Linked DNA regions of Drosophila melanogaster. The gene in region 2 interacts genetically with the main gene of each other region. Each region holds a gene or a part of one and is shown on either strand. Other genes may lie near its edges.

Region 1 (6,213 bases), on a different chromosome or scaffold from region 2:
GCGTAAGGGTTGCAGGACAGTTATCGATTACAAAAAATAGCTAGATTTTAAGATTTATACTAGCTAGTTAAATAAAAGCGAATTTTCATTTTAAAAATGATATTCTGACTTTAAAGTAATTCTTAAAGGATATATTAAAAGATAGGTATTTCTGGGTACCCAAAATCTACCTTAATAGTAACACCTCTAATTTGCTATTAAATAATTAATTAATTAATAAATATTAATTAATAAAGTAATAAATTATTTTATAAACATCGAATTGAATACTTTGGTAATTCTTTACTTACATAAAAAGACACGGCTTGAGATTCGATTTACGTCTTTTTATTTGTTTTAAATTAATTTAATGGTGATTCTCATTTTCTGCTGCTCTTTAATGGATGTATGACTTTTGCTTATTTCGAAACCTAAATATGTCCTTAAATCGTTGCGAATATGTAAATGTTGCATAACCATCGGGAAAACTATAGTTGCCAGTGGTTATAAACAATGTGGGCCTTCGGTTGCGAGCGATTTGAAATTGCATTAATCAGTTTACTTGTCATCTAAAATGGTTGGTTAGGTGGTTAGTAAATTCCTTCTGTTCAAAAGGCACTCCATTAGCTTACCCTCATCCTCTTCCTCTTCCTCGCCTTCTCCATCCTCACCGTCCTCGTCGTCAAATGCCTCCTCATCATTATCTTCGTTGTCCTCCTCGTCCTCGGGCTCCACCTCGATATCAGGTACCAGATAATACTGCAGTGGATTTGGCCAAAGGTCGTCTTTTATCAGTTCTGCGATCTCGTCGTTGACGGGATCGGTGTTATCCGAGAACCAATCGAAGAAGGTTTTGTATTCGGAGTTGCGCTTCTTCTTGTTTCCGTACGGCTTTGTCAGCAAAAGTTTTAGCAGGTTCTTTCCCTCCTTCCATTTGATGGGCGTGCTGGTAGACGCGGGCCAGTCTCCGTTCTCGGAAGCAGCTTTAATTGAAATAGTAATGGGTTAGCTAAGCGGATTTGAATCAATCGTTGGGAGAACTTACCCGCTGAATTCAGGTGGAACTCTTTGGTGAGCACCTTGTTTTCGAAGTAAGGATTCTCGTCGAAATGGAAGTTGATGCGGTAACCCGATTTGATGTCCTCAAACTCCTCAACCTCAAGTTTGTTGAGCGCGTGCAGGCACTCCTCCTCCTCCTCGTCCAGAATGCCGGATACTTGCGGGTGGTTGATAAACTGCAAATATGGCAGTTGGGATTAGCTAGGGGATGCATGCTATCAAGCAGAAAGCCATGTTTATGGCCCCTATGGCACTACTTTTCTTTTCAATTATGGCAGCAAATATTTCAGTGGTTTTTGATTTGAAGCCATTTTGAACTGTGCTATGTTGTGTATTTCCCGGCCAGACGGATATATCGATAGCACGATTTTTCCGGGAGGGGGAAAATGCGCGGGGAGCCGGTGGTGTCGGCATTGCAGCCCAAAGATGAACAAGAAAAAATGCCTCGAATAGAGAAAATTTCTTGTACATGTGTGCAGCGATTACCATCACTTCAGGGCTTCGAAAGATCTAGTCGGCTCCACTAGAACCCATCAGACGAACACGCGGAGGGGACAAACATGGCCGCGGATCGAAGTACTCACCGAGGTCACCCAAAAGTTGGGGATGCGCTTGACCAGCTCGCTGCGCTTCTCGTAGCAGGGCTTCCGCAGCTTGTTGTACTTCTGCTCCACCTTGAGGATCTCCTCGCTGGCCTTCTCGTTCAGCGCATCGATCTCGTTCTGGCAGGCATCAATTTGCTCCAACGCCTCCGACTCCTCCTCGTTGTTACCGGCGGCGGCGGATGTGTTGCCATCGGCGGGGGCGCCGTCCAGCTTGGCTCGCTTTGGCACGCTCGACATTCTGCACGCTCTTCCGTTGTGTGTACGCTCGTAATTCCCGAGATATTTGAACAAAAAGCGGCGGTACAGTTGAGCAGAAGAGAAGCGAAGCGGATTTTTAACCTTTCGTTTGCGGCTGAAGAACTGTAAGTGTATCGATAGGGCGGCACTCTATCGATACGCATCGCAGTTGGGCACCGGTGTGACGTGTCCAACACTGGCCAACCATGATTAGAGCACTATCGATAGGCATTGTCGGGTCCAATCGTTCTTCGATATCGAGATTTGATGCCGAGCTGTAATAGCTGAAAATTATTATTTTCATTTTGCATACGCATCGTTTTTGAAAACATCAGCAACATGGCCACGGCTGAAGCCCAGATCGGTGTGAACAGGAACTTGCAGAAGCAGGACCTCAGCAACTTGGTAAGCAGCCAGCAAAGACGACCGCCAGACGCCGCCTTCCCTTTTTTTCCGCCCGTGTGTGAAAGTATACGCGTCGTCATTATGGAGCCGCTTCCCGGAAAAACAGCGGGGTGCGGGTCGCAAGGACGCGCCCAGATTGTCTCGAACGGTTCGCGGACCAATTTCGAGGGATATACCAGTGGGTTTCGCCAGGGCCAGCAGTGATTTGTTGTGGGTGAGAGATCACGGTGAAAATGCAGCACGTGGCGCTACATTTAGGGTCTGTTTGGTTTATCCCGCAACTTTGGCTCTGCATATGGGCATGATGCGGACTCTGGCGGTATTTGGGCTCTGGCAAGCAGATCAGTTTCGCGAGGACTACCTGACTGTTGTCATCAATTTTGAGTTGATGCAATTCAAGCGACATTCTAACCTCAAAATTGACGGCTTTCCTATATACACACATGCATCTGAGAGGGGATGTTTTGTTAGGGGGTGTGGCGGCGGTAAACAAGACTTGTGCTCTGATTTTCCTCTATTAAAGCGCCTTTATTTATCGTATTGCATTTGGAATCTTGCAGGACGTCTCTAAACTAACGCCTCTATCACCGGAGGTCATCTCCCGACAGGCGACCATCAACATCGGCACCATCGGTCATGTGGCTCACGGCAAATCCACGGTGGTCAAAGCCATATCCGGCGTGCAGACTGTGCGCTTCAAGAACGAACTGGAGCGCAACATCACAATCAAGCTGGGTGAGTCAGGGATCCGTGTAAGCTAGCCTAAGCATATAATCTTAAGATGTATTATTCTACTTGATAATAATTTAGCCGTATGTTAATTCTTCCTGCTCGCCCGTAAACCCCGTAGTGCCCTAAGATTGTAAACCTTCTCGGCTGGCCGAAAATAACCCATAATTATCTTAAGAACCACTTTTTAACACCGTATCGCGACGGCACACCGCGTAGCCAACTCTGTCGCTGCTTTACATCGAGATAATGTTGTAAAAGGGTTCTGCGAATGATTGTCTCTTGTAATTCGAATTCTTGTGTATTTTGTTAACTTAAATTGCTGGATTAGCACGCGTTGCCTTGTGTCGTCGCCTAAGTAGTCTAAAATGATAAAAGAAGTTGTCTTTAGAATGTTGTACTTTACAAAGCTGAATTAAAAAGCGTTCCCAAAGATTGGTATTAAGCATATCTTCCTGTTAGCTTAGTCTTGAATCTGTTACATTGATTGATACGACTGATCCAGCAATTTAATTAATTGCCAATCTTTTTCTTCTTTTTCCCTATTTCTCTTGTTTTTACGATTTTTTCGGTTGCGACGCGTCCGCCAAATAAAAAAAAAAACACACCAAACCCATCATCCAATCCACAATTGTCCAAAACTTGTCATTTGCAGAACGCTTGAGCGAAAAAAAAATCAAAAATCTTTTGACCTCCAAGCAGCAGCGACAGCAGTATGAAATCAAACAGCGTTCAATGCTGCGCCACCTGGCCGAATTGCGGCGACATAGCCGATTCCGCCGCCTCTGCACCAAGCCAGCTTCGTCTTCCATGCCAGCATCCACCTCCAGTGTAGATAGACGCACCACCCGGCGAAGCACCAGTCAGACCTCACTGAGTCCAAGCAATAGTAGCGGCTATGGCAGCGTTTTTGGCTGCGAGGAACATGATGTGGACAAAATACCCAGTCTCAACGGATTCGCCAAACTGAAGCGTCGACGCAGCAGTTGTGTGGGCGCCCCAACTCCCAACTCCAAGCGGTCGAAAAATAACATGGGAGTAATTGCCAAAAGGCCGCCCAAAGGAGAGTACGTTGTGGAGCGTATTGAATGCGTCGAGATGGATCAATATCAGCCAGTCTTCTTCGTCAAATGGCTGGGATACCATGATAGCGAGAACACCTGGGAAAGTCTTGCCAACGTGGCCGACTGCGCCGAAATGGAGAAGTTTGTGGAGCGGCATCAGCAGCTCTACGAGATATACATAGCCAAGATAACCACTGAGCTTGAGAAGCAGCTGGAGGCATTGCCACTAATGGAGAACATTACGGTGGCCGAAGTAGACGCCTATGAGCCACTCAATCTGCAGATCGATCTTATACTGCTCGCCCAATATCGCGCTGCTGGCAGTCGAAGCCAAAGGGAACCGCAGAAAATTGGAGAACGAGCCCTGAAAAGCATGCAAATCAAGCGGGCCCAATTTGTACGACGCAAGCAGTTGGCTGATCTAGCATTGTTCGAGAAGCGCATGAATCATGTGGAGAAACCGTCACCGCCAATACGTGTTGAGAACAACATTGATCTGGACACCATAGACAGCAATTTCATGTACATACATGATAACATAATCGGCAAGGATGTGCCCAAGCCGGAAGCGGGGATTGTGGGCTGTAAGTGCACTGAAGACACAGAGGAGTGTACTGCCTCTACGAAGTGTTGTGCCCGCTTCGCCGGCGAGCTGTTCGCCTACGAGCGAAGCACACGGCGCTTGCGCCTTCGTCCCGGAAGTGCCATCTATGAGTGCAATAGCCGCTGCTCGTGCGATTCAAGCTGCTCCAACCGTCTGGTGCAGCACGGACGCCAGGTACCGTTGGTGCTGTTTAAGACCGCCAACGGCAGCGGATGGGGGGTGCGAGCCGCAACTGCCTTGCGTAAGGGTGAATTTGTGTGCGAGTACATTGGAGAGATCATCACCAGCGATGAGGCAAATGAGCGCGGCAAGGCGTATGACGACAATGGGAGGACATATCTGTTCGACTTGGATTACAACACAGCTCAGGATAGCGAGTACACTATCGATGCAGCTAACTATGGCAACATCTCGCACTTTATCAATCACTCTTGCGATCCTAATCTCGCCGTGTTCCCCTGTTGGATCGAGCACCTGAATGTCGCGCTGCCGCACCTCGTGTTCTTCACACTGCGTCCAATCAAGGCGGGCGAGGAGTTGAGCTTCGACTACATTCGCGCGGACAACGAAGATGTGCCCTACGAGAACCTCTCGACAGCTGTGCGTGTCGAGTGCCGCTGCGGAGCTGATAATTGCAGAAAGGTCCTCTTTTGAATGGACTTGAAGTACTATATTTAAATGGCACGCCGTTACCCACCTGAGACATCATTGCATTGAACCTTTTTTTTTTTTGTTAACATATATATATATTACTAGTTGGATTTTATATTCCGACGTTTTAATTATTTATTTGTTAATAAATGCTAATATCGATATATTGGATCTATATTATGTTTGAGGATCTATATTACTAGAGGATAAAACGAGTAATTCTATATAGTTTGTACTTGTATACATTTCATAAACTTAAATTTTAATTTAGTAATAACTTAGTGTTTTGACAAACAACCTTGTAATGTGCTGAAATTATTACCGCATTAAGTGCAAATTATTATTTTACAATAAATATTTTACGATTATTAAGTGATGTTTGTTTGTGGCTGTATAAATGATCTGGAAGGATCAAAGAAATGAATTTAGTTAGCAATAGCACTTAATTCCTTGTGAAGAACGAAGGATTATTTTACGTGTTTGCCAGGCCAGGAGTTCGAAGAATGTATTGTAATATTCTTCATAATTATTATCGCATTGCTTTTAGGTTATGCCAACGCCAAAATCTACAAGTGTGACAACCCCAAGTGCCCGCGCCCGGCCAGCTTCGTATCGGATGCATCCAGCAAGGACGACAGCTTGCCCTGCACTCGGCTCAACTGCTCCGGCAACTTCAGACTGGTGCGACATGTGAGCTTCGTGGATTGCCCCGGTCACGACATTCTTATGGCTACCATGTTGAACGGTGCTGCTGTGATGGACGCTGCTCTGCTGCTCATTGCTGGTGAGTAACCCTGGATCTCTCTGAACCGACAAAAGATATACAAATTACTACCTATTCCATGTGCAGGCAATGAATCCTGTCCACAACCGCAAACCT
Region 2 (4,778 bases):
GCAGACGACGTGCCGGAGTTGCTGTTCCATTCGCGGATGCGCCCCCGCCGGATGAGGTGCCGCTCCCGACTCCTCCGCCGCCGGAGTTGGCGGCCGTCGTGTTGTCCGCCTCAGTTTTGGCGGACATAGCTTTAAGATGAGTTCAGATTAAATTTATTCCGCTCGGTTCTGAAATAGAGAATAAAAGTTACGGATGAGTTCACAACTTGGTAATATTAAATTCGCTCCGGAAAGGTTGTTTTCGTTATTAGGGTTGAAAGACCTGTCCCGGTTATTTAATTATTGTGGCAGACACACTTCTTGGCAGTTTAGCTACTTTGTATTTCAGCTTCAACTACAGTACTCATTACCTAAAGTTGCTAGTAAGAAACGGCTTATTGGCAGTTTGTTTATTCTACTTTAAACGGCATAATATACCAATTAAATTCTCCCTAATTACAACGTTATTTAAATTTGACTTTTAAGCCAATGAAAGTTTATCTAAGGTTTGTTTGCAATAACTCAATAATAATTGTAGTTACTGCAGTTTATATATGTATATATATAAATATTTCAACAACTAGGGGTTACTTGTTGTTGGTAGAGCTATTATGGTGGCTTTTCAGATACACACACTCCCGCCCCGCGCCCCTTGCATTAATTAACGATTCGTTGCCCCGTCGACAGATTTAAATTGGTTAATATCCACAAGAGAACTGTCGTCTTAGTTGGACTTTCCTACCGCTCCTATTGATCGGAGAGGGAACCCCTGCGGCCCACTGTATCTACATCAAATCGCCGCACACCTGTGTGTGTGTGTATATGTGTTGTGGTGCCTGCACTCAACCCTCGCAGGTAAACAAACAACATTTACAGAGGTGAAAACTCGACTTTGCGACGGTGCAAGTGCAGTTACCAAACGATTACTTCGGTTGTGAGGTTGTATCCAGTGCCGCCGGCGGGATCGCAGGATGGGCAACTGCACTGGACCTAGGCGAAGTAATGCCTTTCTCGCATGTTTCCCTCCAGGGGGATGTGGCTTCTCCCGAGGAGTAATAGAGAGAGAGAGAGAGAGTGCAGCGGCGATTAGCCAGCAGCACTGAATTTGTTGCATACAAAAGTGGAGCACGCCAATACAGGCACAACCCCGGACACGAACACGGGGGATTTCCTGGCCGTGTGTATGTATAACATAGCGACCAATAAACTTACAAATTCGATAGCGAACATGTATACACCAAGTGTGCAAAAGGGGATTATACTTATACGCATTGTATTCAAAACATTCAGCACACAGGACCTTCATGCACACACACACACACACTAACACAAGCACATACACTGAGCAAAAGGTGAAAGCTGTTATCTACGAATTCAGCTGACGAAATCGAGAAGCGGAAACGAAGCCATGTTGAAAACCACTGTCAACTCCAACTTCCGGCTGGAGTTCCCAACAGATTTTTCGCGTTTGTCAGCTAGACACAAGGAAGCCGCCGCGACAGAGCTTTGCTTTGGTGGTTGTTGTGACGCACACACACTCTCGCACGAATGTGGGGCGCCACTGCCACTGCTGCCACCACCGAAAAGGGAGTAGAAGTGGGTGGGCAATGTGTGCCTGCCTGACTGACTGGCGGTGCGTGCGTATGTGTGTGTGTGTATAGTTTCCCGTGTGCTTGATCAGGAAGAGCCCGCTCTCGCCTAGAGAGAGCGAGATGAGCGACGACGAGTACCGTTTTTGTGTATCAAGTGAGCAAAGTACATCGTCGACAGCGACGCCGGCAGAGGCATGCTACGTTTGCTGCTCTGCTCGGGATAATGGGATATTATTTCCCTGCGAATCCGTTCCAAATCAAAATCGGTGGATTGCGATTTCGGATTATTGATTGGGCAGCACGGCGTCGTGACAAGTGCCATTTTCCAAACTGCAGCCAGCTGTTCGCTGTTAGTGTTGGACGGGGGAAACTGATTTTCCGTTCTGCGGCCGCCGATCGCTCGGAAAAGCAGCCTAAGCCGAAAGCTTCTTTTATATAATTTCCATTTTCAGCCGCGCACACACACCCGCACGCAGCTTACACGGGCACAAACAAACAGCTTACACGGACACGGGGCACGACAGACACAGGTACGCGAATACAGGCACACACATTCGCACCGAGCATGTACATAAATATGGATGGATTTGGCGAAATTAGCACTGGATATTGGTTACTTTCCAGCAGGAGCGCAAAATTTACGCATTTGCCCTGCCATATTGCACATTTCCAACGGTGGGGGGAGTGGCGGTGAGCGGAAACAGAAAAGCTGAACTGATTTTTTTTTTTGGAAGGTGACTGCAGCACTGTACTTTTCGAATAGTAACTCCCCGCGAACAGCTCGACTGGAGCTATATATTCACTATATACTTGAAAGTCACTAAACTCAGTGGCATATATTGGCTTTCCAGGCGTGGGATCACAATATTTTTCGCTATGATGGCGACCGGGCAGCGACGCAACGCACTTTGCAGCGCTGTCGCTGCTCTGCTGGCGTGTGCAATTGGTGCGCGATTTTCCGTCCGCGGTTTTCCACCGTAATCCGTTCATCCGCGACGTGGTTCCTAACCTAGCCGCGACCTGGCGTTGTCTTCTGGCCGCATTTTCACAATTATTACGGATTTTCGGAATCCCGATTGCGCTGCCAGCAGAGGGAACACACATACAAACATTTTCCACGACTAGTGCGGGGGGTTGTTTTCGCTGTTGGCCAACGCAGAGGCTGCAATCCGCACTTTTCCTGATCTATATGCACCGACTTGGCCAGGTGGGCGTCTGCGTTTTGCTAGTTTGTTCGCTTTTCGCTGCTAATTAAACGTTTTCAGCCATCAGAAGTGCCCCTAAACTCACACACTGGCACGCACACAATCGCACTGGGTTCGGGCACTGGGAACTGGGCACCCTACACTGGGCAAAAACTCACTGTCGTCATAGGAAGTCGTTGGAAGACGCGCACGCTCGGTATGTGATCGAAATGAGTGTTCCATAAAACCACCGAGCACGGCACTGGCGAGGTGGCTTTAATGCGAATTTACTTTTCTGATTTCTTTCTCCGATGTCTGCGTTTTTTCCTGCTACATGTGTCCAGTGTGACCCGTCGTCGAAGTGCCGGAAACGTCGATCTGCCCCACAAAAGTTCGGGAAAATACCAGCCACCGTCCGCGTTGTGCAGCACTGGCCTTCAAATCAAACACAGTTTCTTATCGGCGGAGGTCGACGAATCGGATCTCGTCTTATCGCCGACCCCCCGTTTATTGTTTCGTTTCTGTATTAGATTCAAAATCAGTTCGGTCATAGGCGTTACTCAGTCTAGCCGGCGCCGCGTTTAACACTATGCCGGTTCAGGGACAGGACTTGAAACATCCATAGGATCCATCGAGCATATACGCAAGGTTTCCTAAGTACGCTTTTTTAATTAATTTTATGAAATGTGTTTCAATACAGTGGTAAGCTAAAAAAAGAAAGTTTGGCATTCTACAAGAGTGAATTATATTCTAAGTTATTAATATAAGTAAGTGAGCTCTTTTATTGTTTTTAGAATACTGTGTGTTAATTTAAGCCTTGGCTTTAAGAATTTGAATTTGTATAATATATTTAAAATAACCAGTAGACATAAGTATTTAGTTAACGGTAATGCCTATGAAATTGTTGTTGCTCAACTCAACAAATCAGCAGAAAATGAAATAAATACGCAAACTGGTTTCTGTAAAATACATTGTTTATGCAAGATCAATAAAAAAAAAACAAACATCCAAGTTTTAAAGTTCGTAAGATTGAACAAAATGGCGGTTTTCTTGGGAAACGGTATTCTTTGCAACGTATTTGGAGCCGTCGCACTGCGTGATAAAAAAAGTGCAGTCACGGTCACACTGGCGAGCAGAATTTCATACGTTTTTGTTTCCTTTTGGCCATATTTATTATTGTTAAAATTGGAGCAATGCCAGCTGCTGTGCGCAAGTTCCGCCGCGAGACCAGTGAAATCAGCTGCTGTCTGAAGTACCTTTTGTTCGCCAGCAATGTGATCCTGTGGCTCTCGGCCCTGCTGGTCCTCTCCGTTGGCATCTGGGCCTGGAGCGAGAAGGGCATGTTCCGCAACATTGCGCGGCTGCACTTCATCGCCCTGGACCCGGCCTTCGTCCTGATCATCCTGGGAGGCGTCACCTTCCTACTGGGCTTCATGGGCAGCGTGGGCGCCTTGCGCGAGAACACCTGCCTCCTGGGGGCGGTGGGTACCACATTGTTAGTGGATCCCCTCTGGACCTAGTTAATCCTTATTTTTCCGCTTGCAGTACGCCATCTTCTTGAGTGTCTTGCTTATCGCAGAGATCGGCTTCTGTGCCGTGGCCTTCGTGCTCAAGGACAAGGGCTGGGTGAGTTCCATTTGAAGGCCACTATTCTAGCCAGCCATTACTAAGGTTTGCCTTTTCCAGATCAAAGACCAGGCCACCGAGGGACTCAAGGCCTTCATTCGCCACTATCGCGAGGACGCAGACCAGCAGAATCTCATTGATTGGATCCAGGAGGATTGGTTGCAGTGTTGCGGCATTGATGGTCCCAAGGACTGGGACAGCAACAACTACTTCAATTGCTCGTCTATCGCTATTGGCAGCAGGGAGGCGTGCGGAGTGCCATTCTCCTGCTGCCGCAGACGTCCGCAGGAGGTGATCAAGAACAAGCAATGCGGCTACGATGTACGCAAGGAGGGATATGTAAGTCCGCTAGCTGTTTTCCCCCGTCTTTCCGAAATGCATATTGAAATTCACCCAC
Region 3 (4,741 bases), on a different chromosome or scaffold from region 2:
CATTGAGCGCACTGAGGTAAGTCGAGAAAATCTATCCTCTTTTGGGAATAATTATAATAAAATTTGCTTACTTCCATTCCAGGGCTTGTTGGATCGCTCCTGGGTGGCTGGCGTCTCGCCCTTCGAGATTCTATTCTCGCACGTGATCACCCAGTTCGTGGTGATGTGCGGACAGACCACTCTGGTGTTGATCTTCATGCTGGTGGTGTTCGGGGTTACCAACAACGGCGACCTATTCTGGGTCATCGTGCTGACCCTGTTGCAGGGCATGTGTGGAATGTGCTTTGGCTTCCTCATCTCCTCGGTGTGCGAGCTGGAGAGGAATGCCATACAGCTGGCGCTGGGCTCCTTCTATCCCACCCTGCTGCTGTCTGGAGTGATCTGGCCGATTGAGGGCATGCCCGTGGTGCTGAGGTGAGTTCTTGTGGTATTACTCTGTTGTGAATGGAAATTTAAAAAATCTTATCCCCCAGATACATATCACTGTGCCTGCCACTAACGCTAGCCACCTCTTCGCTGCGCTCCATCCTCACACGTGGCTGGGCGATACTGGAGTCGGATGTGTACATCGGCTATGTGAGCACGCTGTCCTGGATTGTGGGCTTCCTGGTGCTGACGCTTCTCGTGCTGCGAGCCAAACGCGGCTAGGATCTTCAGATATTACGCTACTTTTAGATGCCTAACTTTAGAACACGATAAGTCGTCCTAATTAGTTTACACCCACTTCGGGTCTTCTTCTTAATTCCACTTTCGAGTTTCACTTCCCTTCGTATCTGCCCAAATGTCATAAATTATTTAAGCACATTCGCAGCTTTCCTTAGCTTTCCACTCGGCACTCGTTTTTCCTTAGACTAAGTTCCGCACTTTCGTAGTTTAAAGCGTAAGGTTTAGGTACTCCTAAATGAAATGTTGTAAATATTTTGTGTCACGAATTCAGTAATCCGTTGCTCTAGATGTCCATTATTTGCAACCCTCTGTACTAGACCTTTTCTCGACGCCGACACGGGCAGTTTATCACATACAAACGCAACTAATTTTATATATTTTCAATGGACTGTGATTGTTTTTTCTACATAATTCACGCGAATACACGTAGGGCAAGCCTAAACAAAAAGAAAACACAATGAAAACGAACAAAAACAATGGTGGGTTTTGTTATTAACATTAAGTAGCTTAAAGCATTTTTGTATGGGTTTAAGTTTTTTAAGGTAAAACATAATTAAATACAATAATGTACGCAACCCTAAAGAGTATGTAAAAATATATTTCAGGAAATATTTTGCGCAGAGCATAAATATTTCACAACGAACAAACATAAGACAATGAACAACGAACAAGTGAAAAACGTTCTTATTTAAGTAAATATTAATGTGAACGCAGTTATGTATAAATAATAATAAAGCGTGAATAAATAAATAAAGTTAAATTTAATTGTTGGTTTACTTACATTTTGAAAAAGATGTTCTCATTTTAACATTGGCGCCAATGCACTGTTACTGTTTTCTAGCATGTCCATAACAGTCTTTTAAATGCAGGAAATAACAACTCATTGTGACCAACTGGCTGGAATTTAATAAATATGTTATCACTTCTAATTTTCTCCAAAACTAAAAAGATAATTTAGCAGGTTAGTTCAAAATTTAAATATTTAACGATAGCTAACTTGAATACCAGGGCTGGTCGCTGGTGTTCCGCTTAAAAGCAGTTGTGCGCTCTGGTAACACTGGCGTTACAGCTGATTGAAATCATAACAAAAGAGCAATGTTTTCCTGTGTTGTTTATGCTTAAAAAGCGATTTTAGGCGTTATTAAGGACGCGAAAATGGACAAATCCAGGTCCAGTGCGTACGACAAGTTCGTTGGCTTCGTGGAACAACTGCGAAATACGGAATGCAGGTGGGACTGAACGGAAATTTGATTGTTTTCGGTTGCATTGAATGTTTTGGGGAGGGGACCGGCAACAGTTTGTTGCTCATTACGGAACAATATTGATTAAATTATGAAGCCCAGGTGATTTCCGGTGGTTTTATTGCCCTTAAGATGAACCTGCCAACTTGTTAGGCCACCCAAAACATTCATTCAACATTGAGCAATAAGTGCATCCGCTATGACGTCATGCCACATACCTGTAATAAAACTAATTTATTTCGAACCCCCCACAGCCAAAAGCAGAAGATCACCTGCTTTCAGCAGATTGCCGAGTGCATCATGTCGCCCTCGCTGGCGGGCCACATCAACTATGCCGCCCACTGCGGCACGGCCACGAATGTTCTGCTGCTGTTCTGCGAGGATGTGGATTCCGTGGTTCGGATGAGCGCCGAGGAAAACCTAAATAAAATACTGAGGTCACTCGAGAAAACCCGGGTCAGTCGCATTCTTATGGATCTGTATGGTGAAATTAAGCGTAATGGTAACCAGAGGTAAGGAGGCAAATATATTAAAGCTAAAATAACAATCTTAAAAAAGAAAAACTTTCTGCACAGATCCCTGAGGATTTGCCTAAACCTTTTCTCCTACTATGCTCCACAAATAAAGGAGAAACACATCAAGTGGTATGCCGTGAGATTGCTCCAATGTATGACCACCATTTCCCAGCGCAAGGAGACGTTGCTCCAGGAGACTCTTTGCGACTTCGTCAAGCACTTTAGCCGCCATATACAACAGGGTCTCAGCGATAGCGAATCCTGCAAACTGTTCGAGGTAGAATAATATCCCTAAACGTCTTTTCTTTTTATGTTTAAGCGTTTGTTGACTTTTGCAGACTTTTCTGGACCAAATTAGCTCCGATTGTGCCGTCAAGCGTCGTTGCTCTGCCCAAAACTGCATGAGTCTGATTGAGAATGCACGCAATAGGAGCCTCATGGCCAGACATGGGGTCAACAAAGTGATGGGTAAGACAGCTTAAATAGGAAATGAATTTCTGAGAGAAATACGAAAAATCCATATGAACACTGCATCCTTACTAGCAACTATAGCAAATGAGAAGTTCGTGAGTGCTGTTATTTACTATTAGAAAAGGAATTTAAATTCAGCAGAATGATACACTTGTTTCAAAACTCTAGGGTCAGCTGTTATTGTTATTTCGCAAAGAGTAACACCATTAAATTTAACAATATTGCAGCCTTAATAACAGCCTCTATTGTTTGTACACTTTTGGATAAACGTATTCACTATTCGCTGCTATCGCTGTTAGTTATTTAACGCATTTTCGCTACGACACTTTGTGTTCAACAGGACGCTCTTTATATTCACATCAATAATGAAAGAGATGTTTAAAAAGCGTGTAACGGCCAAATACTAAGCCTCGCATAGATCGTCATATATATACATATATTGTTAGGTTCGTGCTGGCTCTGCAGCTAAAAAATATTTTTAATATTCTAAAAAGCCGCAAATCCATGAAAAATACCTTACCAAAATGTAAAGCCATCGAACTGCGAACTACGCGAGCGCGGGAATAGATGGTTTTTGGTTTTATTCAAACTCGAATTGTGAATGCAATCACAGCCATGGGTTTGTTTGTCTGTGGCCTGTGGGCGCTAAAGGGGGCGTGGCACAATAAAAGTAACTAGACAGTTGATATAAATTATATTTCTACAGTGCTGTTGGTTACCATGCGCAATCGATGGACGAGCCATCGAATGTACGAATATACACACATATATTTTTTCCAGATTTGTTTTGATTTTAGGCAACGATAGCGGGCAGTTTTTATTTTAACATTTGCTAACTGGCGGACTGCAGCAATAACTGCAGCGGCAAAAACAAAAGTCATGGCAACGTGAGCCATGCGAAAATGCTTAAAAATTGCAAACACAAATCATTTTTTATTGAATTTTCATGAAAATATTATTGGCAAACGTCGACGAAGAGGTAAATGCACCATAGTTACGTTACATTTGCCATCGTCTTTTTATGACCTGCTGCATTGTCCAACAAAAAATTAAGTTCAAACCTCAGAGGAGCTCGGTGTTTGGCATTTGCAAACAATTGAAGTGATATACCGGACTGGGAAAACTAATTCATTTGCTAGGACTACCTTTATGGAAGTCAAAATTCTGACCTCGCCCAAGTTCATATAAATTAAGCTTCGGCTTGACTCTTCCTTTGCTCTTTTCTTGTCCAAATGTTTACCTTCAAATCAACTCCTTTAGCTCCTGTTCCGGTTTCTAGCTCTGCTCCTTTCCCTGCCGCCTACCGGTCTTCTAGTCCTGTGTCAACTTTATGCCACTTCTCGGCAAAGGCACAATGCCAGGCAACTCTTCAGCGCATCCTTATACAGTCTGGCGCCTCTTTTTATGGGCACCCATCATAGTACTTGGGCTGCCTGTGTTCTGGCATGCCCCAACAAACAGACACAAAGTACGGTGCTCAGACCTCAGAACTCAGAGCTCAGAGCCGGGATCCTAGATCCCAGACCCCAGAACACAGACCGCAGAGCCGCCCTCGCCCACGCCATCTCCGTTTGTTTGTCTCCCCGCCCGTAGACGAAATGAAATTTATGCACTTGGACACTTCCATGCAATAATTCATGCGAAATTGAATCAGATATTCATTCCTGTGCAGCTTTAAAGCGGATAATCAACGTTGTAAACAAATGCCGGCCGAACGAGGCCAGCAAAGGAAAGTCGGCAGATGCAAAGGGGAGCTGGCAAAATTTATGTTGCCCACTGACTGATGCCGAGCTAAACAAAAAGTGCAAATTATTTTCCATGGCAACTTGGTATGGCAGCACAAATGGC

The links. Genes that interact genetically often act in the same process or in processes that back each other up.
Region 1: of Kdm5 (region 2) and Su(var)3-9, changing one suppresses a phenotype caused by changing the other (phenotypic suppression), as found in Drosophila melanogaster (one study listed by BioGRID).
Region 3: of Kdm5 (region 2) and htt, changing one suppresses a phenotype caused by changing the other (phenotypic suppression), as found in Drosophila melanogaster (one study listed by BioGRID).

The regions. Positions count from the first base shown.
Region 1 is NT_033777.3:15,259,354-15,265,566, reverse strand, and holds Su(var)3-9 (suppressor of variegation 3-9), read left to right. Parts: upstream 1-2,108; 5' UTR 2,109-2,219; coding exon 2,220-2,285; intron 2,286-2,629; exon of another isoform or gene 2,630-2,728; coding exon of another isoform or gene 2,729-2,770; intron 2,771-2,845; coding exon 2,846-3,020; intron 3,021-3,669; coding exon 3,670-5,336; 3' UTR 5,337-5,703; downstream 5,704-6,213. Other genes in the region: Set, read right to left, coding at 538-548, 612-962, 1,025-1,214, 1,623-1,880; eIF2gamma (eukaryotic translation initiation factor 2 subunit gamma), read left to right, coding at 2,220-2,285, 2,846-3,020, 5,881-6,117, 6,184-6,213. UniProt on the Drosophila melanogaster protein: Histone methyltransferase that specifically trimethylates 'Lys-9' of histone H3 using monomethylated H3 'Lys-9' as substrate.
Region 2 is NT_033779.5:5,996,364-6,001,141, forward strand, and holds the start of Kdm5 (lysine demethylase 5), read right to left. Parts: upstream 3,139-4,778; 5' UTR 2,935-3,138; intron 1,402-2,934; exon of another isoform or gene 1,320-1,401; intron 423-1,319; exon of another isoform or gene 351-422; intron 169-350; 5' UTR 128-168; coding exon 1-127. Other genes in the region: Tsp26A (tetraspanin 26A), read left to right, coding at 3,949-4,236, 4,301-4,381, 4,442-4,720. UniProt on the Drosophila melanogaster protein: Histone demethylase that specifically demethylates 'Lys-4' of histone H3, thereby playing a central role in histone code. Does not demethylate histone H3 'Lys-9', H3 'Lys-27', H3 'Lys-36', H3 'Lys-79' or H4 'Lys-20'.
Region 3 is NT_033777.3:28,694,511-28,699,251, forward strand, and holds the start of htt (huntingtin), read left to right. Parts: upstream 1-1,731; 5' UTR 1,732-1,821; coding exon 1,822-1,895; intron 1,896-2,161; coding exon 2,162-2,419; intron 2,420-2,482; coding exon 2,483-2,699; intron 2,700-2,760; coding exon 2,761-2,890; intron 2,891-4,741. Other genes in the region: snu (snustorr), read left to right, coding at 1-16, 83-414, 474-648.